3 linked regions of the Schizosaccharomyces pombe genome follow. The gene in region 2 interacts genetically with the main gene of each other region. Each region holds a gene or a part of one and is shown on either strand. Other genes may lie near its edges. The genes, in order: ptl3, crt10 and SPOM_SPAC694.02.

Region 1 (9,863 bases), on a different chromosome or scaffold from region 2:
AAATCTATTCTTTAAGGAAATGAGAACAAACGGGAAAAATGAACATGAAACTTCTTGCCGTTCTGTCGTGCTCTATAGAAATTCTAAAAGTGCTAAACGATATCCACTGTCAACTAAATGTGCAAGGATATCTTATATGCAGGGAAACAAAGATACAAAAACTGCTTTAACTAAAAAATATAAATCAAACGAGGATGTAAGCAGAATGAGAAAGAAAGGAAATAAATATCCACAATGCAAGTCGAAAAACTTGTATGATAGTTTAAAACTAGAAGAATGCATTGAATCATGGTCCCTAAATCAAAAGCAAAATGAAAATTTTTATGAACATACCCATTTAAATTCCAGAGATGACAGCAATCCTTCCTCGTGCGATCGCGAAACATTCTTTTTAAGTGACGAAGACTCAGAAATATCTCTTATGGAAGGACTTTCAAGTATTGAAAATGGGTACCCTGATGAGAAGGAGACCCTAGCTGCCCTCGATAATGTAAAGCTTTCAGATGAAAATGCTGCACATCTAGGATATTTGGTTAAATATTTCCAAAACTACACTGATAAGATCATACTCAAAGAGACACTAATGGATTGGGAAGACAAGGAACCTTCGCTGCAGGAGTTAACTGAATCTACTAAGTATCTTGAAAATCTTGCGGATACAGACCATCGAACAAGCAACAAACCGTTTCTATTTCTTCGTTAAGAAATAACATTAATAAAGCAAATCACTACTCTTTCTAGTATTATATGATCTAACAGGTCAAAAAGTATATATTAAAGATAAATATGGTTAAATGGCAACTCCCGTACCATTTTCGTGTCTTGAAAAGGAGCGGAGTATAATTTAGGTAAATACTATAAATAATATCTAGGCGCGTATGTTTTTCCAAGAAAAAACGAGTAGAAACAGTAGGTGAAATGAGATGAATAATAGTTAGCTGAGATTTTCGGGAAATTTATTGACGAAAATTTCAGTATTTAGGCATTATTACTTCAGAAACGCATTTTAAAAAATTTCTTAAATGCTTTAAATTTACCGCCCTTCTTTTTCGACGAAAAGTCAGCAGTACTGCCCATCATACTATCACTGTCGTTTGCAAACCTACTTCCATAAGGCATTGTTGGCACAGACGGTGGCTGCCCTCCTGTAAATGTATAGGAACGTCCCTCGGAGTACGCGTGATTGGATGGTTGTCGAAGACTATAAGTTGCTTCAGGAGCGGCACCACTATCGCGTAAAGTAAGACGAGCCCCAGCATTATTGACAGAGGGAACAGGAGGTGCAGGATAACTGTAAGGGGCTTCACCAGAAGCTTTTGACCTAGAGCGACCGGATTTAAACTTGGAAAATAGATTCGTGCTTCTTCCCCTACCACTATCACGCTCACGTTCAAAGCTGCTATCTGAGAAAACAGAATTCATGTCATCAGGGAAAGCACTAGGGTGAGGTTCTGCAGAAGCATAGGCATTGTTAGCAGTGGTGCTAGAAGCGGTAGGTGTAATGTCCATTTGACGTAACATTTCCTCGACACGTCTTTTGGCAGCGTCTTCTAATGAAGGTTGTGCTGGTTGAGCGGGTTTAACATTCTGTACAGGTTGTACTGGCGAACTTGGCTGATAATACTGCGTTGATTGAACTGGCTGCATAGGTGGAGCTGGTACGCCATTCTGAACGGGCTGCACCGGTGAGCTGGGTTGGTAGTATTGAGTTGATTGTACTGGCTGTATAGGTTGAACCGGTTGAAAATGTTGGGTAGATTGCCCTGATTGATAGGACTGTACAGGTTGCGACTGCTGATTGTACTGTCCAGGTTGGGCAGGTTGGTTGTTATTCTGCCCAGACCTGCTAACTACTCGTGAACCAATGTTACTAGTATTAGGCGGAATAACAGATATTCTTTTAGACGAAGGAGTGTAATGGATAGTCGACGTCGACCTCAAAGACGCCTGATTTGACCCCGAGGGATCAAAATCTTCAAAGACGTCTTCGTAAACAGATTCAGAGGAAGACGATCCTTCCTTGTTCTCATAAATAATGACGTGTTTTTTGCTAACTGGGGGAACTTGAGATGAAGGACTATTTTGTCTGTAGCTAGATGTATAAGCAGGTGACATTTTTCTGCTTGGTTTTTTGAGTACCGACTTTTGAGTGGTATTATTTCTAACAGTAGAAGAACGTTGAACATTGTTATACGATTCTTCAGCAACTGGAGATGTGGGAAGGCTAACGGAAGGACTATATTCTTCGATTGGGGGAGGGATTGCAGTAGGATAATAAGGAGTATTATAATTAGCAGGTGACCCACGAGAATTAGCAGGTACCATATAACTGCTGGATCTTCTTTGAGCAGCAGGGCTTTTTACTGCAGGAGAATAGTTGTTATCTGGCATGTACATTTGAGAAGTACGAGGAAGCAATCGAGGATCCTGATAAGATTGAAAATTAACTTCCTCTGAATTATAAGAAGCGTAAGATGGTGAGCGCGAGGTACTCGGCCTAACTTGTTGAGATGGTGGAAAGTCATAGGACTTTGGAGGCCTCATCTGCCTTTCTGACTTTGTCATATAATTTGCTGAGGAAGAAGTAAGCGTATAGCGCTTTCCAGTATTTACAGGAATTTGGGGAGGGCCTGCTGGTGTAGGCAAATACACAGAACTACGATTTCGCAGACTAGGAGGAGCCATCGGTTGATTGGCACTTCCTAACGTAGACATCCGAGAGCGCATGTAATCATATTGAGGTGAGCCATTGACTGCCTCTCCATAAGAAGTTCTATTTCCCAAAAACGAGTTTACGGCTCTATCATTTTCATTACTATTGTAAATTTTTTTCGTTCCGTGAAGTGCGGTGGACGCAGCAGCAGCAGTTAACTGCGCGTTATAATTCTTTGAAGCATGGCTCATTATCTATCAAATAAACTTCTTCATAAACACCTTTTTGTAAGTATTAATGAGGCCTTAACAGATGAAGGTGTTGGTGAGGTTGTAAGGGGAAGAAGAAATGATGAAACTATTTTCTGAAGAGTACCAGTTCTCGCTTAACAGCTTTAAGGTTGTTTGATGAAGTGAGCTATATGACGTTACCGTGAGATAATGAAAATAGCCAAAAAAAAAAACAAAAGAAATCACTGCGCTCATTTGTTTTGATTAAATCGAATACGCATGTAAACAAATGCATTTATTTATTTTTTTATTTTTTTTCGAAAAAAAAGTTATAAAGGGATATTTAAGTTGCTATGTATGTCTGGAATTATAGTTTACAAAGACATAATAAACATATATCCAAATGTTTAGGAAAAGTAGATAAATAATAAATTTCTGCAAATGTGAACTTTTAAACAATATGACCAAGCTTTGTGGAAAGGCTGGTTTAAATCATGTATACTATCAATTTAAAAATAAAGTAATAATCAGCAAAGTCTCATATTTCTAGGCTTTTTAATTTTCGCATAAGCGGCCACTCATGTTTTCATGATTTTGTCCATTTTCTGCAGTGGATGTCGATGAGCGTTATTTTTAATTAATGTCAGCTAATGAAAACATTTGTTTATGTTTCGTGCCTTTGTTTAGATGGAAATTTGTTTACATTTTAATTACTTATATATTGAGAGCAAGCTAAACTAAACTGAGCATTAACATATTACAATAACCCAAAAAAAAACCAGTTTAAATAATTAAGAAAAAAAAATGTCGTGCATAAGTGAAATCGGCAAATTCGTAAAGTCAATTGAATATATTAAATTGCCATGTTTATTTATCTTTGCTGCCATTGTCGGCATGAACCTCTCATTACTCTATTGCCTGCTTAAAGGATGGAAAAATGTAATGATATGGGGAATCGAAACCATGCTCTTTGGAGCCATTGGCATTTTCTTTGCTTGGAAGGTAAGAATCATCAAATGATTGAATGCAAGTTTAAAATTAACTAATGTAAAGAAAAAATTATCTTGGGAGCATCTCGTACTCCTCTGGTCCACGATTGATGCCTTCTTCAGTATGTGCTTAAGGTCCTGCACTATAATCTATTTCTCAATGAACCCATATATGTTATGCGAAATCCTGAATGCACGAAACGTTATCTCTTGCAGCCTCAACACGCAAAAGTTTTTCTTTATAATTGTCGCCGCATCCAACGTTTACAGTATCTTTCAACTGTGTGGATGCTTATTAATGTTCAACAACATAATTAGCATCCGTCCCTCTGAAAGGACAGAGCCCGAATTCAACTTTGATTTGGAAAAAGGAGTCGCCTTCGCCAGTGATTCTGAATTTCCTGAAAAATCAATTTGTATATAAACAATTCAACTCATTATCATTAAAGGGTTATCATTTTCAAACCTCAAGGCTTCTTCTCGTCTCGTTTCAAGGAGCTGTTGGTTTTTTCCCAAAAAAACATGAAATTCAAATTAAGATCCTCCTGCATTGAAGTTTCAATGTATCTATCTCTGCCAAAGCATTTTTATTACTTTCTATGTGATTTTCGCAAATATTTTAACATTATGGTAGAGCTCGCCAATAGGTTATGAGCTTTTTGAAAACAATTCGTATCAATAAAAAAAATAGTTTGCAGCATGCTTAGCTACGCAGACTATCTTTTTTCTTGGAGTGAGTACTTCATTAATAAGATATTAGTTTTCATGAAAGAACTTTTTTTGGTTAAATAAGTACGAGAACATAGGGGATATTGTACAGCTTAGCAATGTAATAACGCTATTGGATTAACATTCCTTCCTCGTGCATTCCGAAACCCTTCAACGATTGTTTATGAAATTTTCAACAACGGAGCCTTCAAAACTAGGATACGAAAGACTGATCCTTGCACATAGTTGTTGGTATTAAATTCTTTTGTTTTCAGAAATCAACAAGTTTATTCTAAACTCATCAAATTTTTTTTTAACAAAGAACAACCAACAGTGGAGTAAGAGAAAGCTTTACCCATTTGCCAGCGAAACAATTCAAACTAAAGGATGAACCCAGAAAACTGGTGTTTACTTCTTACTTCTCTTTTGAATTAAAATTGAAAATATATTATATATAATGTCGTTAAAATGACATACCGAACATGATTTAAAAATAAAACGGGTAGGTTGGCCGCCTTCATGCGAGTAAACAGTACAATGTTGGGATTTTTTTACAAGCAAATAAAATCAAGTAGGAAGACCACGATCGCAATGGCCGTTCTCTACATAAAATAATTACACAAATATAATACTTTGAGTATAATTGTATCATAAATTCCAAGAACGTAGAAGGTCTGTCGTAATATGGAAGTTGAAATTGACGTGAAACGGATAGATTGATTCATTTTCATTGTATAATGATATTAATGAAAGATTATTTTTTAACAGTATATCTAAAGGAAATTGTTTTATTCTAATTCCTACATTTTATATGGAAAGACACATGTATCGAACTATATTTTACCTTACCATATGATCATCTTCCCTTTCCCTACAACTAGTTAAGTTTCACATTTAGAGGACGTCGTTGGATAATTTTTGTCAATAATCGATGTAAATGTCTAAAAATGAAATTAAACTACAGATGGAATATGCTTCAAGCTATGAAACATGGCTTGAAGCTGCGGAAAAATTAGATGTCATAGAAGGTAAGATTTTACTTGGTTTTATTACTAATGGAACCAGGAAAATATCAATGGAGAGAGCAAAAGGAGTCAGATGAGTACGACTATGTTTTAGTCGAGAGTCGGCTGCATGAACTGCGAAGACATCGATTGTCTAAAAATACGAGACTTTTGCTTGGACTTTTACGAAATTCAGTTGCAAGAGACTTTGCAAATATGGATAATAGTAGATTATATAATTATGCACATTCAGGGACAAAAAAATTGATAGATGAGTTCATTCAAGAGGTTTTGATGTGCTTGACGTATTTAGAGGAAACGCCTGATCTTTCGTTGGATGAAAAGATTACTGAATTTTCTCGTTTAAAACTTACGACTGGCAATACAGCATTGATCTTAAGTGGTGGTGGAACGTTTGGTATGACACATATTGGTGTTTTACAGTCTTTGCATGAACAAGGTTTGGTACCTAAAATTATCTGTGGTTCATCTGCTGGTGCAATTGTTGCGTGCGCGGCAGCAGTCCGAAATAAAGAAGAGCAGGAGATTTTGCTTAGACAATTTCATACAGGTGATCTCAGTGTCTTTACTGATCCCAATGCAGCACCACCATCAGTTATACAGTCTGTCAAACAGTATTTCACTAGAGGCTGTGTCTTGGATATCAGCCATTTGGAAAGGGTAATGAAGCTGCTTATTGGAGATTTCACTTTCCAAGAGGCATATGATCGTTCAGGATATATTTTAAATGTTACTGTGTCTTGTGGAAGCCTGTTTGAGATGCCCAGTTTACTTAACTACATTACTGCTCCAAATGTTTTAGTGTGGAGTGCGGTGTAAGTTTATTTATCAGTGCCTTAAGTTCGCCATTCTAATAAGCCCTTTTAGTGTCGCAACGTGCTCTGTTCCCTTTTTATTCAAACGAGCTACTTTGTGGGAAAGAGACCCTTTAACAAGAGAAGTATCGGCATTTTGTGTAACAGATGCTCCGTTATGGATGGACGGATCTGTTGATAATGACATTCCGCATGCTAAACTAACGGAGCTGTTCCATGTTAATCATTTTATCGTATCACAAGTCAACTTTCACATCGTTCCGTTTATTATGGATCCAACATCTCATAATTGGGTTGAGCGCTGTTGTAAGAAGGCAATTGATTTGGCTGCTCAGGAAGTTAGCTTGACATTTCGTTTGTTTGCAGAACTAGGCATTTTTTCGGTATTATTCACGAAGCTTCAATCTGTAATCACCCAGAAATATTCTGGAGATATTACAATTATCCCCAGATTGAATTACCGTGAAGTGAATAAAGTCATTAAAAATCCAACTCCTTCATTTCTTTTAGATGCAGCAACGAGGGGCAAACGTGGAACATGGACAAAAGTTCCAGTTACTCGGAACCATTGTGCAATAGAGATTTTAATCGCAGCTGCATATACTCGGTTAATAAAAAGGTCTAAAAGTTTAAAATAATTTTTAAATACCCCGAGTTTTCAGTTTTGTTTTGTTTTTTGTATTTATTGGTTATCTATTGTACATAGTACATAAAAAATTGAAAAGTTTCATGTTCCCAAACTGGTTCTTTAGTGTTATTCTTTTTATTACAATACAACTTGTTTTGCTTTTTTTTTGGTTTGATGATTGCTAACAGTATTTTGAATTTTCCCGGTTTTACAAGATATACTTATTGACTTGATAGTGATATTTTGAATCTTTGGTAAATAGACATGCTATTTGCAAACCGTCTGTTAAATGATAGTATGTGTCGGTGATATTGGAATAATATAAATTAAAAAGTTGAATAGACCAAATTTATTGTCTATATAAAAAAAATAATAATTAATAATTTATAAGTGTTTTCATATATATTTTATTTTATTTTATTGTATTGTTTTTTTTTTTTTTTTTTTAACTTCAATAAAGTTTTTTTCATTCTTACCGTGCTTAATAATTCATAAATATTATTTAATGGCAATTGCATTTTGTAAAACGAATAAACATAATGGCTCATGCTTTTTTTCTTCTTTTCTTTCTTTCTTTTTTATTTTTTTGTTTTTTTTGAAGAAAAGATATAAAGGAGAGACCAATTATTGAAATAACATTTATTTACTTTTTTACTTACCTGCAGTAGCGTTTATAGTATTCGGCGAAAATAGATCGGTTTGTATGAATTCTTAATAGTTTTTGGCTATTCATACCGATTGCAACAAGCTAGAAACCTTGCAATCCATAATCTTAGTAAATTAAAAAGTAAAAGAAAGTTAACTTATTTTTCTTTGAGCATATTCGCTGTGCAGGGTTGGCTGTTACGATGGTGGTCAATCGCACCTGCATATAAGATGAAGTATTGTGTGGTTTTCAATGATTACTGTTTGTCAAACGAGATGCTAATTATAAAAGTAGAAACAATTTATACGTGAACTTAATAAAAAGGAAATGTTTATTATATATTTTTCGTAATGATAGAGTCTCACTAGTAAAAAGAATCAATAAATTTCCCTCGAAAACATCGCACAGTATGCTCTTACAAAGAAATGTGAAAAGAGATAATTTGAAAATGAATTAGTAGTTGTCTTTGAAAATATTTAATATATACAGACTTTAATTACTTATAACATTGCTTAATTAAAAGTGTGCTTTGTGTTTACTAGTGCTCCTAACCAGCTCGCTTTTCCTAAGCTTGTAAATAAAACAAAGTACACTGAATGTCCATTACTCAAGGCAATTGCCAAAAAAAAAGGGCATTAGCAAAAGCGAAAATAAACTTGCCCCACAATTTTGTTCAGGTATAGTCCTAGAACACTGTTCCACACCGGTTTCCTCGCATACACGTCTTCGTTGACTTTCGCTCGCATGCTGCAAATCCTTTTTTGACAAATAGCGTGCAGCATAGCTAGTCCAACGTACGCACGTTAGTTTACGAGCCTAAATGTACTCCACGTCATGGAGGGAAAGGTAACTTGGAAGGTTAGCCCCACACTTTCCTTAACCCCATTATCTCCATTTTTCAATGATGTCAACGTAAAAGGTGGAAGCTCGCTTGTTCCGAATGACGGCGAATAGAAACGTAGAATTTTTCAAACCGTAATTTGATTGGCGGAAGGTTTGGTTTTCATGAATGTTCTCCACACTATGGGAAAACGAGGGGAGCAAAGTGAACAAAATACTGAGAGGTGATTGGATATGTCCCACTTTTTCATGTGATGCTCCTCATTTAACTAATAATTGGTGCGAAAATTTTCTTGCTCTTGCGGTAGACATTTTTGCACTGCGCATGTGTTCCTCCATTGTTCTAGACTGCGTTCCTCTACACCACCCCGCATTTGTTCGTCCGACTTTAGGCTCTTTTCCTTCTTCCCCGCCAAACTTTTGAGCGGATACTTGCCTGATTTCTTACCGGAATGGTGAGGGGCGAACACCTTTAGAATAGTGTTTCAAACACTTTTTTTTGGGTTTTGGCGGGGTTAAACTGACGAACAACGAAGAAAAAACAAGAATTCTAACAATTTACAACAGAATCCGTAAAAAAATTAGAAGCTTGTCTGACCAGCGGTAGTATAGAAGGGTTTAAACGGTGAGTAGAGTGTTTGTATTTTTCCCCAGTGTACCTTTTGCCAGTAGACAAACATCCCATCCTTTCTTGTGGGCAGCGTTATTTTGATGATAACTCTATCCCACTATTACTCCAGTTGCTTGGATACATCGTCGCAGCTCTGGACCAATGTTGCAGTTGCTTCCTAATTTTTAGAGGGTCAGTTGCCGGTACTCACGGGGCCCCAGACATGGATTCTGTCAAGATTGTGGGGTAGATGCAAGTTGAAGTCAAAAAAATGAGAATCAAAAACTTGAAAATAAAATACATAAAATGATTTATTTTATTTTTCTTTGTATAATCCATGTAAAATTATAGACTGTATGCACTGAAACCTTGTTCCGAGCGACTGGTCCCAGGTATATAAGTGGTGCTGGTGCACAGGCATTTTCACCACCATCGCAATCAAACAACTTTCCTTGATCTGTTCATTGTTTCAAAACAAAAAATTCCGTTTTTTGGAATCCCTAATCATCTTCCTTACTTTTATTTAAATCTTAATCCATCCAAGCGAGGAATTTTGCATTTTCCTTTCTTGTGATTGCTCCCTTTTTCTTAGCTCTTTGAAAAATACCCCAAAAAAGAAAACACTAACACTCTTTCGGTTAGAGAGCGTTTTCGCATTAGTTGAATCCAAAAACATATTTTACGATCCAACACTGTGATTTGGCTTAATTTCTTTTTTC
Region 2 (9,851 bases):
TGTGATTGGTGTAATAGAATAATATCCACTATAGTAGTGTAGTTGAGAGAAACAAAGGATGGACGTTGCATTAGAAAAAGATGCTTAACGGCAAAAACAAGAACCGCTTTTGAGCTTTCATACTTTGCATGCTTGGAGTGATAATTTTCGACAAGAATCCGTAGGGCGTGACGAAAACTCTCAGTTTCATCAAAACGGCGAGTAGTAGACCGATTTTCTACTTCCTCATTGTTCTCATCATCCGCTGGAGTTGAGGGTACTGCGTTTGCAGCGGCTTCAATCGATTTGTCAGCTTGAGCACTTGCAAGTGCAGAAAAGCATCTTCCTAAAGAAGAATGGAGCAAAGAATTATCAATTGATGATTTTTTAAATAGAAAAGATTTGAACCATTCCAATTCTGAATTACGAAGACGTGAAGAGCCCAGAATGTAGTAAGCGCAACGAAGTGCAGATAAAAGAACATTCGTTGATGAAGTGTTTAAATTTGATTTAATACATTTCCATATTTCTTTTATCAAATCTTCATTCGTAGACTGAATAGATGTTTCAATGCATTTCGACAGTCCATCTAATGCGATTGAGCGAACTCCATATGACAAATTGGTTTTCGAATATTTGAAGAAAAATCTTATAAAAGTCTCTTGCTGATTGATCTATTAAGGTTAATTATAAGTTTATAGAAAATATCCAAAAGAGTAATACCTGATTTCCATATTCTTCCAAGCAAGAAGTCAGAACGGATAAAACGTTACTACCGGTTAGTTGATATTTCAAATATTCTAGACATACATAATCTCTATATAGTCTTTTTTCTCATGAATGCTATCCACGAAGTAAAGTAAAACTCGATGCTGATGATAACCCTCGACTAATACTTGTTAACATATACCATTTTCCATAAATCTCACATACGTCCTTTTAAGAGTGCAATTATACAGTTAGAAAGAAGTTTTCTAGTTGGATAAGCAATAAAATTTCCATATTTTTTGATTAACGAAAGTAGGGGATTTAAATTAGTTTGTAATGAATCCTCGCGAGTATTTTTGTTCAGATTCCTCAATTGTTTTTCGTAATTGAGTAAATCAATATATATGGTCTCCCTCTTATCTACATCAGCTACTTTCGTCAACTTTTCGAGCGGCAATGATGCTAACGACATATGTGGAGCGGCCAAACCAATTTCCCTAGGCTAAATCTATATACATTGAGTTGCGAGGTACTGAAATCTGCAGTCGACATTTACACGATTTACAATAAATTAATAATCAAATAGTCTATAGATAATATATTTATTATTATCATTATAATTAACCACTTTACTTATCAACCACGAACACAAAGATGTTTTAAATTGTAGGAGACTACTAGAATGCAATAGCCATTCCGAGTATCGTTAATTTTAAAATTAAATAAAACAACGAAAAGTCATTTATAGATTTAGTTTTGAAATGGACAAAAATTTTGTCTGAGAAGGCAAAAATCACAGCTCAACGCTAGTATGAGCATCTGCAATGCAAACAATTATTATGCTATTCATAATGGTATTTCCATGTACAATAAGAACAAGGGGTCTCATGATCAGAAGGAGTACTAATAAAACTTAATATTTGCATATTTCCATAAAACCTAATTGAACATTTTCATAAACAAAGAAGAAAACACAAAAAAAAAGAAAGGACAGATATTAATGAAGAGCTCGAAATGCTTTGCTGGCCATAACTCACATATGGGAGAGATTAGTATCAGTATAATCATCGCGCTTGTTATCTAAATTAAATGAACCTAAATTATCAAGCTCATCTTGTTTTTCTTTTTTTCTGCTTCGTACTCCAAGTCCAAATGGAATAACCAGCACTAAAAACCCTGTAAAAGCCATCACCACACCTGAAAAAGAAAAGGAAATTAATAAATGAAATTTCAAATACCTAGTTTGAACTATAAATATACTTACCTGCTGCTTTTCTTATTTGGTCCCATTTCTGCCTCTCATTTTCAGCCCTCAATTTACCTAACGAAACGGCTAATAAATTGTGTAGTTCAACAATTCTTGCACTCAATTGCTGGACTTCATTCTTTGTATCATTTTTCCGATTTTCAAACTCCATTTTGCTTTCGGTATTAAGCTTGTTTAACTGCTCGTGAACCAATTGTTCCAAACTTTCTACTTCCCTTTGGTTTGAAAACAAGCCTGAACGTAACGAACTGATTTGATCTTTTCTCATATTTATTTTCTCTGAGCGAAGCTCCGACAAAGCTGTACGAAACAAATAGGAGCACTATACAAGTTAGCTATGACAGTTCATTTGAAAGCAAAAAAAACCGTCAATCTATAATTAAAGATAAATTTAAAGACGGAAGGATTCTGTAGCTTAATAAATCATACGTACATTTTCAAAATCAGCTTCAGACAGGTAATTGAGATGACTATGTCGCAGCATATCAGTAACAAACATATTCGTGACTTCGAGAAGACCCTCGGCCTCTTTTTCTGTATATCCTTTATCCATTAAAGTTTTCAAAAATGTAAATGTGTTGAAGTGATATCCTTCAAGGTCTCTGAAAGGACGATTTTCGTGATTGGCATTTACTACTGAAAGACCCTTTTCCATTTCACCTGCATCTGTCCCTTCTGATGCATAAAATCGAATTTGCTTCGTTAAGGATAAAGAATAAGGAATTAAACGAAAAGTATTGATACTATGCACTTTAATCCCATGCAAGGTAATTCGGGATCGATTAACATCTATAGCTTTTCGTAGCAAAGAGAACATTTTGTCAAGCTACCAAATTTTGATTATAAATTAAGCAACTTATTAACAGACATAATTAATTTTTGTTAAAAATTGGGTACGATGATTGTGGTGAATGTTAAATGTACATATCAGAAGGCGTAAAGGAGTAGTATGGGTGTACCCATAGAAAATAATAATGATGAAAATGCATTGATAAGTGGTTTTGATTATTTCCTTATAAGGTTTAAAATGTTAAAGGATATAAAAGAAAATATTTCTACAATTCTAATTATACGTCAAATTGAACGAGGGCAGTGAAGCTTTATTGTTATTCAGCATCTTCAGGAAATTTGACAACAGAACTTCCGAAGCATTGGATCAGGACAAAGAGCTGATGAGTAACAAGTAATATTCCACTTAGCATAAACCGAGGTGCAAACACTTTCCAAACCATCAAATGGCGACGAAAAAATCCAGCAAAGAAGACAGTACTCGTCGAGATCAATAGGTTATAAAGAATGAAAGAAAAGGAGAATCGAAACAAGTTTATCAAGAATCTATTTTTCTTGGAAAGTGGTTCGAATGAAAATAGTGGAATCGAAATGCAAGTAAGTATCGGCGCACCGACCGTATGCAAAAACATGAATATAGCGCTTATAGCCTGGTTTTCAGCAGATTTTGAATGAATGAATGCAAAATTCCAATCAAGAGACGATATAGCAGCCTGATTTCCCGTTGTAAAAAAATGCGACAATCCCAATAAACCTAGCGTTACCGAAAAGAAGTTGTGACCAACACTTGGCTGCCATTGTTTAAGTTGAATAAGAAGCAGGATTTGTAAAAAGCAAGAAAATAAAGAGAGATGTCCCAGGGGCCTTTGCAAAAATGAGAGAAAAGAATATAGTAATGCAAAAACGAAATATGATCTTTCGATGACATTTATTTTAGCAAACTTGGATCGCGACAGTAAGAAGAATTGCCATATCAAAACACCAAGAATGCAAATTACGTAAGTATTTGCAAGTGAGTATAAAACATGATGATACTGCTTTTCTAATAAAGCATCATTCGCGAAAACATGATGAGCAATCCAAAATATTGAAGATATTAACTCGAAAAAATAGAGGATTGAAAGATGATAAAGTTTTAAAGAAAGGCCAAGAACGCGTCGCAAGTGAAGTTGCAGAATGAGAGGCAATATAATAGAAGAAAGAGCCATTAACGCCAAAACAATCAAGGTTCTGAGGCTGTTATCAGGAGTTGAGATGTACGTGCTAACACAAAACGCACCTTGCTCTTCGCGACAGTTAGTTACGTACGAAGAAATTACCTGTAAAAGGATAAATGCCAATGCAGAGTAAGTAGAGCATGCAAAAAGGGGGCTCATTTCGGAAAAGCATTTGCAAAACATAACTAGTCCAATAGTGATGATCAAGAAGTGACAAAGGCGATCTTCCCATACTGTAAAAGAGTTGGAACCAAAACTGCAAACGTGTAGAAAAGTTATAAAAATACTAAAGTAGTCCAACTTGACAAAACCTTTAAAGTACTCCATCAACTTCTGATTAAAGGAATTTAACAGGATGTAAAATGAAGGAAGTAATACATAGAATTCCGCCGGGAACGGAGAATGAAGTTCGTTGTTTGCCAAAATTAAAATTAAGCAAACCGGCAAACATTTCATGACTGATGGAGCCATATTGGCAGACATCCTAAAAATCACCGACTTATCTTGCATCAACAAAGCCAAGTTAAATCCACCTATAATAAGAAGTAAAAATCCAATGATCATAGGGAAAAGACTAAACTCCGCCCAAATTGCTTTAAAGTAAGAGAATGCGTCTCTTGCATAGTCAAAGTCTAAAAAGTATTGATCTAAATAAGAGTTATTATTTTTATGGACAGAGGACGAAAGGAAGTCAGAAGCATCTAAATCATACTCGCTAAAGAAGCGATTGAGTTGACCGATATTAATCTTTTGGGCTTTCGACAAATATTCATCTCCATAGTAGTAAAAAGGTTCTGGAATTAAGGTACCAAGGTTGCCATACGGAATGGGATTTCCTAAGAGCAAACTTAAGGTAGGAACTAGATCTACCTGATTTGCACTTAGTACTTTACCTGGTTGTTTCAAATAGCCAAAGGTTGGCTTTTTGCTATACATCCACAGTACAGAGTTAATTTCATCGAATGAATCACCACCGTGATTTCCTTTGTTGTCCATACCATGATCTCCCATGACAATGAGTAATGTACTATCATCCAGTAGATCCATCATTTCTTTCACACACCTGTCCATTTGATTCAGTTTATCTCGCATTGTTGGATGATCAGGTCCCAAGCGGTGACCAACGTGGTCAACGCCCAAGTAGTGTGCTATTAGGACATCAAAGTTGGCATCTTTTATATAATCGAATACATATTGATTAACCTTATTATCTACTCCATGAAGATCAGGTACATTGAAAGAAAAAGCAGGTTGAGAGAGTGTCTCATTCAAATAATCATGGAACAATACGTCCCAAGTATCATCACCTAGCAATACGATTTGTTTATCTAATGATTTCCATTGGAGAAGCAGATTATCCTCATCAATATTTGTTCCAGCGAAGTTAGAACCAAGATCAATAAAAGTTGGTAACGAACCAGTAGTGAGACCTTTCAATCTTTGAGATGTAGTAGTTGGGGCATCTGCTATGAATTGTGTTAAGTAAGAGTTTTCTGGATGAAGGACAGAAGTTTCGTATGGAGTCGTGAATGCATTATGGTAATAATTGCTATCATTATAAGGTATTAAAAAGTCATAACGGAGAGCATCTATGATGACAATAACGGCCCGTTCAAATATTTTGGGAGCCCAACAACCTGATGAATTTTTCCATTCGCGCACATCGGCAGGCGGGTTTTCGCATAAAGACGTTTGGTTTAAAACAGCTCTTCGTAAAAGGAACCCGTCGGTGAACGATTTCAAGCCGTAAAAATTCGAAATTAGTATAATCGCGAAAAAGATGCAAGCTTGAATATATTTCCAAGTTCCAATGGTACTGGTAAGTTTTTTTTTACATTTTACCCTTTTTTCCTCCATGAATACTCCTTCTCTTTGATATATTACTTAAACGATTGAAGAAGGTAAATCGCAAGAACAAGTTCCGTGGTGAGGTTTAAGACATGTAAACATTGTAATGCATTCACCAAAGAAGATGGAAATAGGCTTAAAGTGACTGATAATTGGTTATGGAAATTTACCAAGAGTGAATTTTTAATTTTTAAATAAAAGCTTTCGCAACAAATTTAACTAGTAAGATCAACTTGCTTTTACGAGATGATTCTTACGGCAACCTAACTCTGTCGATTGATGCTATATATTTACTAGTTTTATTTTTAAAAATGTTAACTTTTCTCCTTTGTTGTAATTGTAATAACTTAATAGAAATAAACTGACAAACATCCCAAAGGGTAATATACATGTGTACGTAAAAACATCAACAAACATTAACACGGAAGAAAAAAGTAAAAACTTGAAAGTGTAATTTCCGTGAATCGTCAAAGAGGTATGTTTCCTATATGACTAGTGTCGTATAAATTTTCCGAGAGCTGAACTTCTACAGAAATAACTTTTCCGGTATAAACAGTAAGCTGTGAAATCACCAGTTAGCTAAAAACATAATCTTATAGATGCTTACCATTATTTTAAATCTTTTAAAAGGATTTTCTTCTCCAGGATACAATGGGCAAACACTCATTCCCAATAAAGGAGCATCCACCAAATGAGTGAGGCGAATTTTATGGGGAACAAATGAGTAAACATAAATTGGATTTCCATTGAGAATTTTTGTTGTACAAATCAAGCGAAGCAATGTTAATTGACCACTCTGACTGGCACAAACAACTGACTGTAATTCGGGAATACATTCTATCATATTGATTCTATGTAAAGCTTGAAACCTGGGGGTAATGGGTTCCTCAAAGCAATTTTTACTGCTCACCAAAGGAAATATTTGTGAATTTCCCATGTAAGCACATAAAACTATTGAAAATTTCGTAGTAAAAATGAATAGTTCTTCAGGTTTCTGCCGCAGATAAGTACGAAAATAATTTTTTACCTTCGTCTTCTAAGTATGTTAATTAAAATGTATTTTAAATAACTCGTTTACAAGGAGCCTTACCGGAAGTTCATCCTGTATATGAACATAGTATTCACCTTCAAAAACCGCGTCGTCATCGAAATCTTCTTCATGCGATAATAAGAAAGCTGAACTGGACATGATGGGTGGCTTCCAAGGGCTTTGGCCAAATTGTTGCGCCGGAATAAGAGATCCCGGTTTGTGCTTTAGGATGGAAATATGATAGAACGCATTTTTATCAATGAACTTAACTCCCCAAATACTAGAAAGTTAGTAATTAGTTTTCGAAATTCAGCTTTTTATTACAACCTTAACTTTGTATAAAACTTGCAAAGGCAACTTAATGAAGTTATATCCCATATCTGAAGTGATCGATCAATAGATCCACTCAGTAATAATGTTCCTGAAGAATTAAATGTTATACACGGTACTAAAATCATTAGACAATGTAAAGTATTCGTAACCGCATACTATTATGTTCATGTCCTTCCAGTACTAATGTCTCTTGTCTAAACCAAGGAGAATGGTAATCCTCTTTAAATCGTTTAAATTCAGGCGACAGATGAAATCTGAATTACAATTAGAAGATCGGTATTATTGAATGAGCGTACAAATTAACATTGTGAGAATTGGAAGATATGCCAAGGATCCTAAGAGGTGAAACTGCTAGTCCCCAAGCTGAATGCTGAACATCATAAATTATAGGCTCTCGATTTAACTTTTGAACATCGTATATCGCTACTTTTCCACAATCATTGGCGGTAATAAAATACTCCAAATCTCCAATTAATTCACAACGAACATTGTTGATGACATTTGGCATGTCTTGATTGATATCTCCTTGCCGCGAGGAAGATGCTTCATGAGGACAATGCAAATAAAAGCAAGGTTCAGGTTCTGAAGCATCTGATGAGATCTCCTTTAAGTCATAAACAAGAACTTCATCTATGTTACGTATTAGCTTTTATAATTACTTAAAAGAAATGATAAAGGGAGAACTCTTGTAATATAACATAGCATAACATACCGCCTACAACCACAAACAGAAAATTCTTCGTTTTACTACATGAAATCAGTGAATTTCTCCAAAAATGAAAGGATTTCTCTTTCAATGTGAATAATTCTTTAACATTAATCTAAAATGATATATCAGTAAAAGACAATCGAATTTTGTAAACAAAGCAGTACATATAGATAGTTTAGGAATTCATCAACTGTTAGGTCTCTTTGCATTATTTTATAAATATTCTTTTTTAGCAAACAATTTGCTTAAAAACGTCAAGGGCACATTAATGTTCATTTGATGTGGTTGTGAGTTCTTGTATTACACCCATTAGGAACCCTATTCATAACAACTTCGACGGCATTTCCCATAAAATCAACAACGAAAGCCTTCAAAAGCTTTGGAGATTTAGTTTAGACGGGCAATAAAGTATGGCTGCTACAACGGCTAGTTGTATTTCTTTCAGTCAATTCCAAAGACTAAAGAAACTTATTGATTCCCCAGCGTCTAAACACAAACCTATGGAATTCAAAGGAACTTCTAAAGATGATTTGGAGGACGATTTGAATAGTTTTTTCGATTGCGAAGAAGAATTGTTTCTTTCCGCTAATAAAATATTCTACTCAAAGTTAAGAGTTTATCAAACTGTCCGTCACTGGAGCCTCAAACAAAATTGGTCTTCCATGAGTTTGGACCAGAAGCGCAATTTTATCCTTCATTGCCATCACGAACTCTCTTCGGGTGAATTGCTGCGCAACAGCGCTCTTTACTCGATCCTGTACATAGCAGCTGGTGCTTACGATTCCGTTGGCAGTTTTGAAGAACACGTCCATAGTATTTCAGAAAACGTTTATCTGCTGCGAGAGTTTGATATTCCTAAGACTGTTTATTCTCTTTTTATCGAATGGAATCGTACCCGTAAACACAGCTTTCTGGATAACAGTAGAGACGAAGGTTTTCTTAATTTACTATTATCTCTAATGTTCTTTTTTTTGACTCTCAACAATACTGATAAAACGTGGATTCATTCTATCCGATCATTAAATCCCCCGGTATTGCCTACATTAGTAAAACTATTTATTGACATAACCAGCGATTATCAGTTGAACCTCGATAAGGTTATTCATTCATCTCTAAAAAAATTATCCTTTTTGATTTTTAAAGTTTGCATTCGTCTTTGGGGATCTCAGTCTTATTTACAGGAAAAAAAGGCTGGGTTGGCCGAAGTTTTAAACATCTCTACGTCTCAGCAAAAGCCAAAAACCACAGCATTAGACTACGAAGTTTTTCGTCATGAAATGGCTACTAAGTTTTCTTCTTTTGCTGATTCTTATTACCCTGTACCACTTGATCGTGAACAAGCACACATACTACCTACTCTCAATACAGACTCTTTTCATAAATCATCCTTTATATCTAGTACCCGACTTTGCTCACCCGAAAATCCATCACTTTTGGTGAATACTGCAAAAACCAGCAAAATGTCCGCTCGAAGGGAACAATTTCAAACTAACCAAAATTTACCATTTTGCTTTACCCCTAACTTGGAGAAGCTTACAATACCTTACAGTGTTACAGAGGCTGCCAATGTTTTCCAAAATAAAACGAAGAGAACTCTAGCGGTTGAACAATTGTTATCTGAAAGAGAGCTTTTACGTCGCTTTACTTTGCAGCAACGACTCGTTGCAGATCTGCATGAGTTTTACAATTCAGTGAAGGGACCTGCTCATTCATTTGAAACAGAAGATCCTGTTCTTAAATTTGTCTCTCAATCCTATGATGACTTATTCCCGTATATGGATAATTTTATTCAGTTAGCAGTCCAACTGTTTTACCATATTTCAAAAAAAGTTAATTGCCTTTACGTAGAGGCTTTCTCTTCTTCAGACGCTGTTTTACAACGAATTCAAGACAATGCAGTTGTAGACTCGCCTACTGAAGAATTAAGTGAACAGGCTGCTAGGAATCGTAAGTCTAATGTAAAAATTGAAT
Region 3 (13,026 bases), on a different chromosome or scaffold from region 2:
TTCAGGAGATTAATCATTCAATTACTCATTTTACTATGCAATTTTTTTGATTTTTGTTTGCATAATGCACAATCAATCTGTCCTGGATTTTGTACCTATGACTTTGTCCTTGTTGCTCCCTACAATAGCTTTCTTTCAAATCTTGCTCTATTATACTAATTATTAAAATATTTAGCCTTGGCTGTTTACATGCTTCGCCGTTTAGATAGATTCTCCGGTGCCCAAATTGTGCGCAGCCGTGATCCTCAAGTTTTAGACTCATGCGACATTATTGTAGATGTTGGAGGAAAGTACGATGGTATTAAATATTTTGACCATCATCAACGTGAATTCAATGATACTTTTTCACCCAAATACAGCACTCGTCTTTCTAGTGCCGGTTTGATCTACAAACATTTTGGTCGTGAAGTTATTCACGCTGTCCTTCCACAGTTGAAAATAAACGAGCAGGATCTTGAAACACTTTATGAAAAAGTTTATCAATCATTCGTTGAAGGTCTTGATGCTAATGACAATGGAATTTCTGCTTATCCGGCTGGCCTAAAGCCTAGCTTCAAAGCCGCTATGAGTCTACCTGAGATGGTTTCAAGTTTCCTTCCTGCATGGAATTCGGAAAAGCAAGATGACCAAACTTACCTTGAATGTTTTCAAAAGGCCTCGGATTTAATGGGTACATGGTTTGTTCGATCTGTAGAACATTATGCTTTATCATGGTTACCAGCTAAAACTCTCGCTCGAGAAGCAATTTTGAAGGCTAAAGATTCTCCTATTTTGATCGTAGATCAGTTTTTTCCCTGGAAGGGTCATTTATTTGATATTGAAAAAGAACTTGGCATTGAGAACCAATTTAAATACGCTATCTACTCTGATGGGAAAGCTTGGAGAGTTCAGGCTGTTTCTATTGATCCCACTTCTTTTACTTGTCGCTTACCACTACCAGAACCATGGAGAGGAATTCGTGATGAAAAGCTTTCTGAGTTAACTGGCATTCCAGGTTGCATCTTTGTTCATGCTTCCGGTTTCATTGGTGGTAATCAAACTTTTGAGGGTGCTCTGGAAATGGCTAGGAAAGCTTTAGATTTTCCACAAAATTAAAAAGCATGAACATCAGTATATGTTATGTTTGATAGCAGCTGATTGTTTTAAATCTAGTATATATTTTATCATTAGTCTGTACAAATCAATATACATAATGCAATGGGGCCATGTGCGTTGTCAATATCTTATTCGCCTAGTCAATTGGAAACTTTTGAATGGGTTTTGTAGCATTCATAATATATAAGGAGCATATCAACTTTAGTCTCTCCAGTTAGCGATGGCGGTACGGTTGGATTACCTTGATGACATTTAAAATCTCTTGAGGTATGATTTTACGTTGGGTTTCTTCGTCTCCAGAGATGATCGCTTGTCGTGCTCTCGTACTGCTGACACCAAAACCGACATTCCCTTTTAATTTAGTAAGTTTAATTTTTTCCGACCATTGACTTGGAATGTTTGGCAAAAGAGATTTCTTGATTTTCTCAAGATATTGCGCTTGGTCATCCGTGGTAGTACCATCTACTTCTCTTGAAAAGCAAAGAATTTGAGAACAGGAAAAAAAAGGTTGTAATACTTGTTGCATTGCCTTTTCTTTATAGTACTTGCAATCTAATATCCTTATTAAGGTGTCAAAACCTACTAAGTATACTTGTTCTCGAGGCCCCAATTTATTTGATATACTACGACACTTGTCGACGAATAATGCGTGCTTGCAAATAGCGACGGAAACAGTGCAATTATGGATTAGTGTTTTTAATTTTTCCATCATCAAAATTCGCTCATTGAAAGCCGCAGGTGCAACAGGCTTGTCAGCATTTGTAATACTTAACAATAACAAAAGTTGACTACCTTTAGGAATTGATAAGCACATGCCCAGATGGGCAAAATGGGGAGGATTGAAAGAGCTGTCAAGCACTAAATAAGATAACAACTTTGTTAGCTTTGAATATCGGGATCCGCACTCAATTCATCCTAACTTACCATATATCGGTTTATCACTAACTTCAAGTCTTTCGAGCAGTAAAATATCTTCCGTTGATGATCGAAAACTGTCTAACAAATTGGCATATTTTTTAGCTTGATCCATATTTCTACCTATAGTAATAAGCAGAAGTTTCTGGGTTTATACCCGAAAAGTTGGCTCGCCAATGTTACTGATCGTATGTATATGCTACAGTACCAGGATTGCTTGATTGACCTTTTAATCCAATAATAACACTTATTATGTTTAATATATTTCTAAATACATAAGGAAATTAAATTCACAACAAATTTATTTGACACTTAAAATAAAAATTAAATAAAACCTTTTTTAACATTCATCACACTAAAAAAATACCATTTATTTTTTTTTCTTAAATATGTTTTTTATTGAACATCCAAGATCTCAAGAAGACGTGCTATAACTCCAAAAAAACATTCTATGACGCTCAATCAATTCTCTAATTTTCAAAGAAAAAACAGAATAAAGCCATACAACATCAACTAAAAAGTAAAAGCAACAGCGCAAAATTTATGCCCACATCTTTCTGAATTTAGCGTCAAATTGATTACGTACTTCCAAAAACATGCAGTATACCTTGAAAAGATTCATGTCCATTTTCTCCTCCAATTCAGGAGAGGCCAAGGTAGTTGAATAATTACCATTCATGTTTTGCATCCAGTCAGCTCCGGTGGCCTCGCTTTCAGTGGTGGCTTGAACAGCGTTGGAGCCTTCAAGTGCACTCATAGCATTTTCAATATCTTCATCAGTTACGAGATTTAATAGATTGCCAAGGCAACTGCAGATGGTAGCAAGGACCAAACTGAAATCATTAAGTACAAACCAAATTTCAGACTGCTTCAAATTATTTTGTTCAATCAGCATATCGACACTTCCATGAGTAAAGAAATCGAGTAAATAAGCATTATAAGGGGCCTTGTTGGCTTCAAATATTGGAAGTCTAGAAGTCTTCAAGAAAATGCCATCTGGAACTTTGTCCAAGAAGCTTGAGGTAGTACCGACCATGCTCTCGTTATATCCTGCTAACCCACAAAATTCGGACATTACGCCTACGGATAATGAAGAGGGTAATTTGGCTGAACCCTCAATGGTGGTATTCGATAATGGAAGCTTATTTGCTGCCACACCAATATTACCATGCTTTTGATAGTACCAAGCGTAAGTCTTGTAAAGGTCAAGTACTCGCTGATCATGGGCATCTAAAACATCGGCAATTTCCGTTGGAAGAGGAGGTAAAACAACTGTAGACTGTGCAAGATCCGTGCTTCCTTCCAATGTCATAACGTATTGCTCGTTCATGCGAATACGACCAAAAAGATGACACAAGATTACGACGGTGTCACGCATGGCTTCGAATTTCTCAGTAGCAAACTTCTCAGCAATTTTATGGAATACACCAGCTTTCAAAAGATTCATGAATGCATAATTGCTTGGTTCAGTGTAATATAAATGCATGGTTAGTGAAGCAAGATTTATAGGGTTACCATAAACATCTAACAGTCCTTCACGACGAAGGTACTCAATGACAAAGCGAAGATGATGGTTAACTTGATTGCTCAAAATGGATCCATTAGCCATAAATTTTGGCTCGTCCATGAGCGCATGAATGGTATCACGGGCAAAAGGGCCTGCTTGAGACCCAGAAATAAGCTGAGATAGCTGCAAAACCAAAGAAGTAGTAAGAGGAAATTGACCCTGGATATCCCATAGCTTTGTAGTCAAAAGACGATAGATTTTGTGCAAAGGTACGCCCAAGAAACCGACATGACCTAGAAGATCAAAACCACGACGACCAGCACGACCAGCGGCTTGATGGAAATTCAAGGCGTTAAGCTGTAAACTATCTCCCAAAAATACCACAGTTCGGCATGGCATGTTGATACCAAGAGAGAGTGTACGAGTAGCAATTACAACTGTAAGCTGACCACATCTAAACAAAACTTCGACGATTTGACGGTAACGTCTGTTAAGACCAGAATGATGAATACCAATACCACGGTATAAAGCATCAACATACCATTCAGGAACAGCTTGACGTCTACGCAAGGCTTCTAAATCTCGATAAAGTTCTTCTTTACCATAGGTTGACTTCGCACCAGCAAAAGAAAACTCGGGAGAAGGCTCCTCAGGGTCGAAAAACTCAATCCAACTGATATCACCGGCTTCTTTTAACGCTTGTTCTTTTTGTTTCTCAGTAGCACTCTTCTCAAATTTTTCCATCTGTTTGGCTCTTTGGTTAGCAGTGGATTGCCATTTTTTATATTCACGCATTTTCTCTTTCCACTCCTCGGAATTTTCACGCCACTCTCTCTCCTTCTCAACCAATGTCTTAAAAACGATTTCAGCAAGGTATTCACATTCCTGACGATCATAGTTAAAACAGATAGCAGGAAGTAGCTCCTTACTATGAAGATCCTTTAACATTGGCAAAAGGTTTTGGGATATGGCATCTAAAGAATAGGCAGAGTTATGCAGTTCTAATTGACTATTAACAACCTTTTGTGGCTCACTACAAAAGTGCTTAATAAGAGCTTGGAATGGTGAGTTAGGGGCAAAGGCATTAGGCAAAGACGCCCAAGTGTCAATTGTAGCCTTAATCTTCTTCTCGTAACCGACGGCATCAACCTTCTTAATAAAGGGGATGTCCTCAAAGTACCTGTCAGGATCAAGCTTTCTACTAATTTTGAAATCACCCTTGGAAACTAACTTCATTGCATAGTACAGCTGTAAGCAATCGCGTGGTTCGAATGCAAGATTCGTTGTAGATCCATCAGAGAAAGACATGGCGGCAGCAGGATGAATAAATGCAATTTGTCCGAGGTCGCCTTCTTCTTGCAAACCATTAAATTCCTTGGCACCTCCATATACAAACTTACGAAGATCAGAATAACGATGCTCATGAACAATCAAATGAATTGGATAAGAGTGAGCCCTTTGCAAAGCAGAAAGCCATACTTGAAATTCCTGTGGGTTACCGACCGTAGCTGATAGGGCAACAATGGGACAAGGAGCTAATAACAATAGCTGTTCTTCAACTAGTCCATCTTCCATTTGACCAATACAGTGAATTTCATCAAAAATGATGCGCCTAATCTTAGGGCACCATGCATTGGCCAAAGCTGGTTGCAACAACATGCTTTGAAGCACGTGGGGAACAGTAATAAGAACTTGACAATTTGTGGGGTTATTAATACGGTAGTCACGAGTATAAACAGACCAAACAGTTTGACCAGCATGAGGATAATGCTTGTTGAAACGAGCATAAACTTCCGCAGAAAGTTGATTGACTAATGCTTTAGTAGGTGCAACATAAATAACGACTCCATCATCATTGTCACGTAAAACTTTTTCCATCGCATAAAACGAAATAAAGGTTTTACCAGAAGATGTTGGAGCTACAACAAATACAGACTCATCGCGATCCAGTATGTCAAGAGTTTCACGTTGCCATTCATCCGGATCGAATGCAACACGGCTATCAGGAGCACTACCCATCGACCTCTCCATGTATTCACCAAAATGGAGAAGTTGGAACGTAGGAGAAGTATAGGGAACCTCAAGGTCAAATTCTTCATCCTCCAAATCAGGTAACACAAATGGAAACGAAAGAGGCTTCGACTCTAATTTTTTCATTTTTCTAATTACGTTTTCAAATCCTAACGCAGTAAGTGTTTCGTCCAGAGCTGCTTTCACTTGCTTCGTAATAGGATTTGGATAAACGATACTTATTTCGCGGAAAATTTCGACAGCAATCTTAATGTTCTTCTCTTTTCCTTCATCGGTTACACAGCACGCGGTCCATAAAGAAAGTAATACACGAATGCGATATAGACGCATTTCGTTCTCGATATACGGGTCATACGTTCTTGTATTCAAAAGCTGAGCAAGACGGCCAGCACGAAGGTTTAAATCTTTAATACGACCCAAATCATTTTTAGTTTCATTCCAAATAACCTCGTTTTTATTCTCTTCTTTCTCAACTTTTCGTGCTGCAATTTCAGCGCGAATTTGCTCGGCTTTGGATAATTTAGGAGCTTTACTCTTTTTTCCAGGCTTTTCCTTCTCAGCCTTACCGTTTTTCGTGTTTTTCCCTTTAGGTGAATTTTTGACACTAGTTTCTTCTTTGACTGCCTGCTTTGACTCCTTTGTAGAGTTGGGGCCTTGCGTAAAAATGGTTTGACGTTTCAGTTGACCACCTTTAGCACCAGTCAAAGAGCTTGCATATTTTTGAATATGACTAATAAAGAACTGATCTTGTCTACGTACTTTATTCGCCTGTTTGCGGTCTTTAGTATTATCACCGGTTTTGCGAGTGGCACTCAAATCATCGAAGCGCTTGGATGTCATGGTTTTGTCATTGATTCGAAGTTTTGAGAAGTCCAAAACAGTTTCAATGCCAGGTTCCTCCCTTTGTTCAAGATTCCACTCCTCTGTATCATAATAAGGGGAGATAACGGGATCATTGTAGGCAGTCAAAGATATATCAATTTCGCTTACAGGAGTTTCAATGGGTACACACAGATCCTTGGAAATTGAAGAAAGGCTAGGAAAATCAAACAAGTCACCTGCATCGGGAGCAATATCTAAAATAAGCTTCCATAAAGAAAGAGCGGATTCTCGACAAATATCAGGAATACAAAATTCGCCCAACGCAGCATCAACAACAAGTCGGATAAAGAGGCGACCGTCGAAAATATCATGGAATCCATCTACTTTGGAATCCAACAGCTGAAGGATTGTATTTGTAGCATTCAGATAGCTAATAATAAATTTCTGAATTGCAGGATCCTCATAAAGAGGGAAGGCAGGTTGGAAGCGATCGTTCAAGCTTAATTCTTCAAGCATGCAGGTTAAGATGATGAGAATTTTGCAGAGATCGACATTAAGATCTGATTTTTCATTCAACAGCAACCACGCTGCAGAAAGGGTTTGGATGCGTGACGCGTTTGAAGGACAAGCATCGACAGCAATATCGGGTAGTTCAATAGACTGACGAGGCTTGCCAAACTTCTTTAAATAATCAGAGATGAGATTAGAAGCGTTTTCAACAGATTCACTGGATCGTGTAAAGAATGAAGGCAATATACAGACTAAGATTTTATTGTCTACAAATTGGTAAGAGCCCAAAAGAGCGACAGGTACACCATCAGAAAGAGCAAAGAAAATGAATGATTTAAATACCATCACTTGCTCATCTGATATAACTAAACCCCCTTCCTTTGTATTTTGGTTGCTATCAAGAACCATAAATCCATATGGACGATGCTTTGCAATAAATATGCTCCATTGAGAATCTCCTAAAGATTTGAAAACATATACAGGGACATGCTTGCGAAGATGGCGGATAGCCACTCTACGAAAGAGGAGTAACGACGCATGCAAAATCCCATCGTATTGGGAGTATAAAGCTTCCCAATTTTTAAAGAATACTATACAAAAATTTAGTCTAGCACTCTTAAATCGCGCTAATTCCTTCTCCAAAAGGTAAATAGCATATAAAATTTGAACACCATTCTTGGCTAAAAATTGAGAATCTTTTGCCAAAATATGGAAAATCAAGGAATCTCCATCGATAAGAAAAAGTTCCTCTCCAGCAAAATCACCGATTAAGTCTACTAGACGATAGTTCTGAACCGTCGTTAATTTGGCTATCTCCTCGCTCATAATTTGGCGGTGATGGAAGAAGTTTACTGCACAGAGACCTGCTTTCTACTAAGGAATTGGTATTATGAGGTCCTTTAAATTTATAACACCGTACTGTTAACACAACTTTTACGCAACAGATAATTTCTTTACGATGTAAAATTACTCTAATTGTTAAATAAACGATTTTCAAGTATAAATGAACGGTAAATCATCTTGATGCGTGTTCTCATTGTTAAAGGTTATTTAGATAAAAAACATTCAAAGTATATAATTAATAAAGAGTCGTTATGAGCTACTACAATCAAACTTCCTGCTTGCTGTGGAGGTCTACGTAGCATGGAAATTTTTCATTTCACATTAATATGTCACCTACGGAGTCATAACTGATTGATTAATAAAAAGATTTCTCTTTTAGTCAAAATTTTATCCATTGAAAGTGACTGTACAAATCGAAGTAAAGAAATATCTCTTCAATCGGGTTTTTGATTTTTTAAGACAGAATCCTACTTTTAACAGTAGGCGTTAAAACATATGCATGTGAAGATATAACAGAAATTGTAATTGGACTATCCTAATCCACGTTACTGTCTAGGTGAGTTTAAAGTATACACTATGCGTGAAAGCATTTTTATTTAGTTTACAATATCAAATCATCCGCATCTGTTTCTCTACGGTTGATATCTCTTTTCTCCTTTCTTTTCAGAAGATGCAACATGTGAATCCTTCAAAATTGGAGAAATGCAAAGGATAATTCCGGATGTTATAAATTTCAATTGGAACGGGTGCATCCTTTAGCTCAATTTGTGCAATGCGGCAACCAACTATAAACCAATATTAGATATCGCTTCTAAATCAAAGATTCTAGAATGAAACGAATAAGTAGATGATGATCTACTTACGATAGTTTGCATTTGGTCCAAATGACTCAAAAGACTATCACATATTTGCCAACTTTAGCCAAAACAGATTTCCTAGTCCTATAGTGTGTTTGTCTTCTATTTGACTCTTCACCCAAACGCAATTTGTTGGAATATATGGTGCGCTGTAATTGGCATCATATATACTGTCGCTACATAGATCCAAAAATTCAATAAAAATCCTAAGTCATCGGCGAAATAAGTTGCTTGATTGAAATGTACACAAACCAAAATGTATCAACAGTTAACAACTTGTTTGCTAATGCATACTAGTAGTGTAGTAGCAATTTAATAGGCTTGGGGTTTTCATTTTCGGATGCACAGCATAAAGGACGTGATCGCGACGATAATTTGATTTCAATTATTTCACTAAAAAAAGAAGGAAATGGTGGTCATTGGTACACCCGTATTATCTGAATGATCAAAGGTTTCTAAAAGGCTCAAACACAAGTCCAAAGAACTCCATGCTGCTTGTCCCTGCATGTCTTGTCCGCCATTGACATATTAGTCAAAAGCAGAAACATGTAGCAACAATGTATTTTATTATACACATGAAAATGCATCACTTAACATCGTAATTATAAAAATTTCGCTTGCTCGCTTAACAATCACACCTTAAACCTAATGGCTTAAGTGTAGAAATTTAGGAAATTTTTTTATAACTGAAAGACACAACAAACCTTCTACCATAAACCAAATAGAGAGGACTGTTCGACTTTTTAAAGAAGTGAATATTTCATTTTAGTACATGCGTACCAGTATAATTTATATTTGGTGAAAGTGTTCGTCTTCAGGTACAGAAAGGCTAGAGATTTAGGAAAACTTTTCAATTAGAATTGTCTGTGGATTGTATAATTCTAAAAGTCTATTTCCTTGTTGGATTCATTTTTTAAACAATTTTAATTATAGAAAATACTCTTTTCTGGCATTTCTTTGGTGTAATCGTTCATTGGCATAAGAATTAAAAAAAATGGCACGAATAACAAACATGGGTAAAAGGAAACGATTCCTCGAAGCTACGCCATACGAGTCAAAAGTTTTGGAACAACCCAAGAATTCCTCCAATACAAATGAAGAATCATCTTCTCAAGATAATATGAAAGCATCTTTTGGTTCGTCGAAAAGATATGATGAGCGTCAGAAAAAGAAGCGCTCTGAGTATCGAAGACTTCGAAGAATCAACCAAAGAAATAGAGACAAATTTTGCTTTGCCTGCCGGCAACAGGGACACATTGTACAAGACTGCCCAGAGGCTAAGGATAATGTTTCAATATGTTTTCGTTGTGGTAGCAAAGAGCATTCTCTAAATGCCTGCTCTAAAAAAGGACCATTGAAGTTTGCTAAATGCTTCATTTGCCATGAAAATGGTCACTTGTCGGGACAATGTGAACAGAACCCCAAAGGGTTGTACCCCAAAGGTGGTTGTTGTAAATTTTGTTCCTCTGTACATCATTTAGCAAAGGATTGTGATCAAGTGAACAAGGATGATGTTTCCTTTGGCCATGTTGTTGGTGTCGCTGGTACCACTGGAGCTGATGAAGACGTATATCATGAATACGCCAAAACGGTTGCAGCGCCTACTAAGAAAAGACCAGTGAAACCTGTGAAAAAGTTGGTTACGTTTTAAAAGGGTTTTGGAAAGGTAAACGGGGAAAGGAATTGGACTAGACCAGAAGGCAAGCCATGGTATAGTAACTGTAACAGATAATCAGCTTTTGGTACGTTTTCGATTACATATGCGAATTTTGAAGTTGATGTGTATGAAAAATAATTAATATTTTATAATAAATTGAAAAAATTAAAGAAATAATAGAAAAGAGAAGAGTAAAAAGCAAAATATTTTTGCTGTCTTGTTGTGTTGGGACAATATAGCTAGCTGACACTTTTAATGTAATCCTACAAATCCGAATACCAAAAACAATATATTCTTAGCAAAAATTCAAAGCGTTAATTTTTTAATTGCTTATATTAAAATGAATTAACAAACAATACATGTAATCAATTAGATATTAGATATCTGACCATTAAATTTCTATTTGTAATTTGGTTTCGACAACTCGACTCATTTCATACAAATTATTACCTTAATGTATATGTGCGATACTCTCTCTCTACGTAGGGAATCATGGAAACCCCTACTCAACTCGTAATACTGGCAGGCTGCGATTGCCAGCTGAGAAAACAAATGCCGAAATATAGATCATGGATTTCATTGCACGTGATATGCGGTATCACTTGACAGAAGACAATGCAAATCCCGTTTCAAGGGTCCATTCATGGATGTAAAAATACATTTACTGACTAATGATCGCCCCCTCTCTATACTGTAATCCTTATCCACCCAAAGTGACACACCGTTATGTGACTGACAGTTGCAAGAAGGATTATCCAGCAGTGGACTTTTACAGCGACTTTTTGGTTCTTTGTGTATATGGTATATGCCTGCAATATGCCTAACTATACATGAATTGCGAATTAATCGAACTTAAATGTGAATTAATCGGAATTGTGAATTTACAAGAGTGCATAAAGTTTTTATATGAATTTCGTAAAATTAAAAATAATAATAATAATAGTAAAATAAAAATAAAATAAATAAAATAAAATAAAATAAAGAATGGACCTTGAGCTGGAAAATAGGTATTAATTATAATGAAAGGATTTAACATGGATTAACAAACTGGTACTGAGATTGGTAAACAATGCGTTAATATAGGAGCTAACCCAAGAAGTATGCAATGTTAACGAAAAGACGGAAGTAAGTACTTGATATGCGTTTGACTCATATGTAAATCGTAAAAAAAATTTTTTTATTTTGAATAAGCCTTTTCATCGATTTCAAGTCAAGTTTTCAATCCACTTTCTTGCCTCGCTGATCGATCGTTCAGTAGCATTTGTTATACGGGTGATACTGTACGATAGCTTCAAGTACGTTGCTTATTCCTGTACTATGTTGCAATTCCTTACGATCCTTTAAATTGAATTGTGAGCCCAATGTTGGCCATACGATGGGATATCCATTGGTAATCCGCCTATTGTACGCCAAGTGTTAGGCAATCTAGCGCAACTCTCGCTAAAGAATAGTCATTAGTGAATTGAGGACATTGTTTTATCTGCTTACGTTAGCGAGAGATGAGTTTTTCTGGCGATGTGTGATCAATACACTGCCGCCCCATCGTCGTTGGATCGCATGTCCATTTGCTATTGTGATGGATTCTTACACAGCGATATACTCCCATGCAGAAAAATGAAGCATGGCACTTGAAAACACCGGGCTCGGAATCGCTGTTGGGCCGATCGGCCATTTCTAAATTGTGAATAATCGTTCAACAATTTGTTTGTAAATAGATGGAATTCACTGAACGGGGAAGATGTCTCTTGTAATGTGTATACAGGCGCACTTCTGTCCGCCCATTTCGTAGACAACGCAATGACTTAAAATATTGTACAATAGTATACAATGAAAATAACCTCATAGAACAGTATACAAACTTAGTAATTGATCCCAATAATAATCTCTTTACTCCAGTCTGTCCTACTACACTCGATATTTCACAGCCCAGTAATCCCCAGCATTTGCCACTACCGTCGCTATAGCGGTTTAACGGCAATATATCCTTATAACGGTTAATGCATTTTTCCATCGAGATATCTGATATAGTAATCCTGTTACTTCAACGCAGATCATTCGTCGATCATATGGGAATGGGTAAATGGGTCAAAGGGGTCCCAAAATACAAATTCCGATCGTTTGACGTATTCCACCACATCGAATCCAGAAAGTAAAGAACATCAAGGTCTTGCTGGTTTTTTCGTAGACTTCTTTACATTACAGACTATATTGTTTCTGTCGATTTGCTCCTTCCATTGAGTCTATATTAGTTCCCCTAAAAAAATTTTAGCTAAAGCGGGGTCGGCCGGCAAAGCTGTAATTCGTTATCTGGAGAAAATTGTTACTCGCCCCGTATTGAGATTACCAACAAAGTTTTAGGTAACATTACGCCGATCACCGTTAAAAAAGCTTTGCCATCTCTCACGTTTATATAAAGATATTTACCGGATTTCCCCGTTTACCACTCCTACTGTATAACAACAACACCACTAGGTAAATTGCAAATCAAGGAATCCACCAAGTTTCCAGTGGTATTTTCCCAATTATTTGTAATATTTTCTTATATTTTCGTGTTATCCTTTCTCTGGCAGCATCATTTGACCAACAACTGAATTGTAGCTTGGTTCTCTTGGTTTATCCTGTTTGCCCTTTCGAGTCCACTCGTTTGGCATACGGATATCTTAATTTTCTTTGTTTCCTGCCTTTTTCACGTTCTGGTATTTTGGAAGGTAGCGGTTTATTGGATTTATCTTCGAGGAAAGAGAGTGCTGTAAAAATTGTCGGCTTGTGGAGAGCAAACAAATTACTTT

Evidence for each region.
Region 1: mutations in crt10 (region 2) and ptl3 together harm fitness more than expected from each alone (negative genetic interaction), as found in Schizosaccharomyces pombe (one large-scale study listed by BioGRID).
Region 3: mutations in crt10 (region 2) and SPOM_SPAC694.02 together harm fitness more than expected from each alone (negative genetic interaction), as found in Schizosaccharomyces pombe (one large-scale study listed by BioGRID).

What each region holds. Positions count from the first base shown.
Region 1 is NC_003424.3:1,077,216-1,087,078, reverse strand, and holds ptl3 (triacylglycerol lipase), read left to right. Parts: upstream 1-5,453; 5' UTR 5,454-5,517; coding exon 5,518-5,608; exon of another isoform or gene 5,609-5,645; coding exon 5,646-6,420; exon of another isoform or gene 6,421-6,472; coding exon 6,473-7,058; 3' UTR 7,059-7,444; downstream 7,445-9,863. Other genes in the region: protein mug125, read left to right, coding at 1-703; protein sle1, read right to left, coding at 994-2,904; protein meu31, read left to right, coding at 3,688-3,885, 3,937-4,296. UniProt on the Schizosaccharomyces pombe protein: Lipid particle-localized triacylglycerol (TAG) lipase. The lipid droplet/particle is a lipid storage compartment which serves as a depot of energy and building blocks for membrane lipid biosynthesis.
Region 2 is NC_003423.3:1,327,032-1,336,882, reverse strand, and holds crt10 (WD repeat protein Crt10, involved in ribosomal RNA decay), read right to left. Parts: upstream 8,168-9,851; 5' UTR 8,090-8,167; coding exon 8,045-8,089; intron 7,993-8,044; coding exon 7,884-7,992; intron 7,838-7,883; exon of another isoform or gene 7,802-7,837; coding exon 7,468-7,801; exon of another isoform or gene 7,426-7,467; coding exon 7,328-7,425; exon of another isoform or gene 7,287-7,327; coding exon 7,166-7,286; exon of another isoform or gene 7,123-7,165; intron 7,119-7,122; coding exon 6,899-7,118; intron 6,845-6,898; coding exon 6,416-6,844; intron 6,369-6,415; coding exon 6,276-6,368; 3' UTR 6,068-6,275; downstream 1-6,067. Other genes in the region: Pof6-interacting protein Sip1 AP-1 accessory protein, read right to left, coding at 1-653, 703-751, 790-868, 913-1,159; SPOM_SPBC27B12.07 (uncharacterized protein), read right to left, coding at 1,721-1,884, 1,952-2,276, 2,388-2,771; gpi13 (pig-O family ethanolamine phosphate transferase), read right to left, coding at 3,061-5,817; FAR complex subunit Csc2, read left to right, coding at 8,291-9,851.
Region 3 is NC_003424.3:4,194,864-4,207,889, reverse strand, and holds SPOM_SPAC694.02 (DDL60-like DEAD/DEAH box helicase ), read right to left. Parts: upstream 7,720-13,026; 5' UTR 7,706-7,719; coding exon 2,552-7,705; 3' UTR 2,278-2,551; downstream 1-2,277. Other genes in the region: SPOM_SPAC694.04C (uncharacterized protein), read left to right, coding at 176-1,095; SPOM_SPAC694.03 (nicotinamide-nucleotide adenylyltransferase), read right to left, coding at 1,310-1,953, 2,020-2,125; SPOM_SPAC683.02C (zf-CCHC type zinc finger protein ), read left to right, coding at 9,575-10,231; SPOM_SPAC683.03 (uncharacterized protein), read right to left, coding at 11,931-12,248.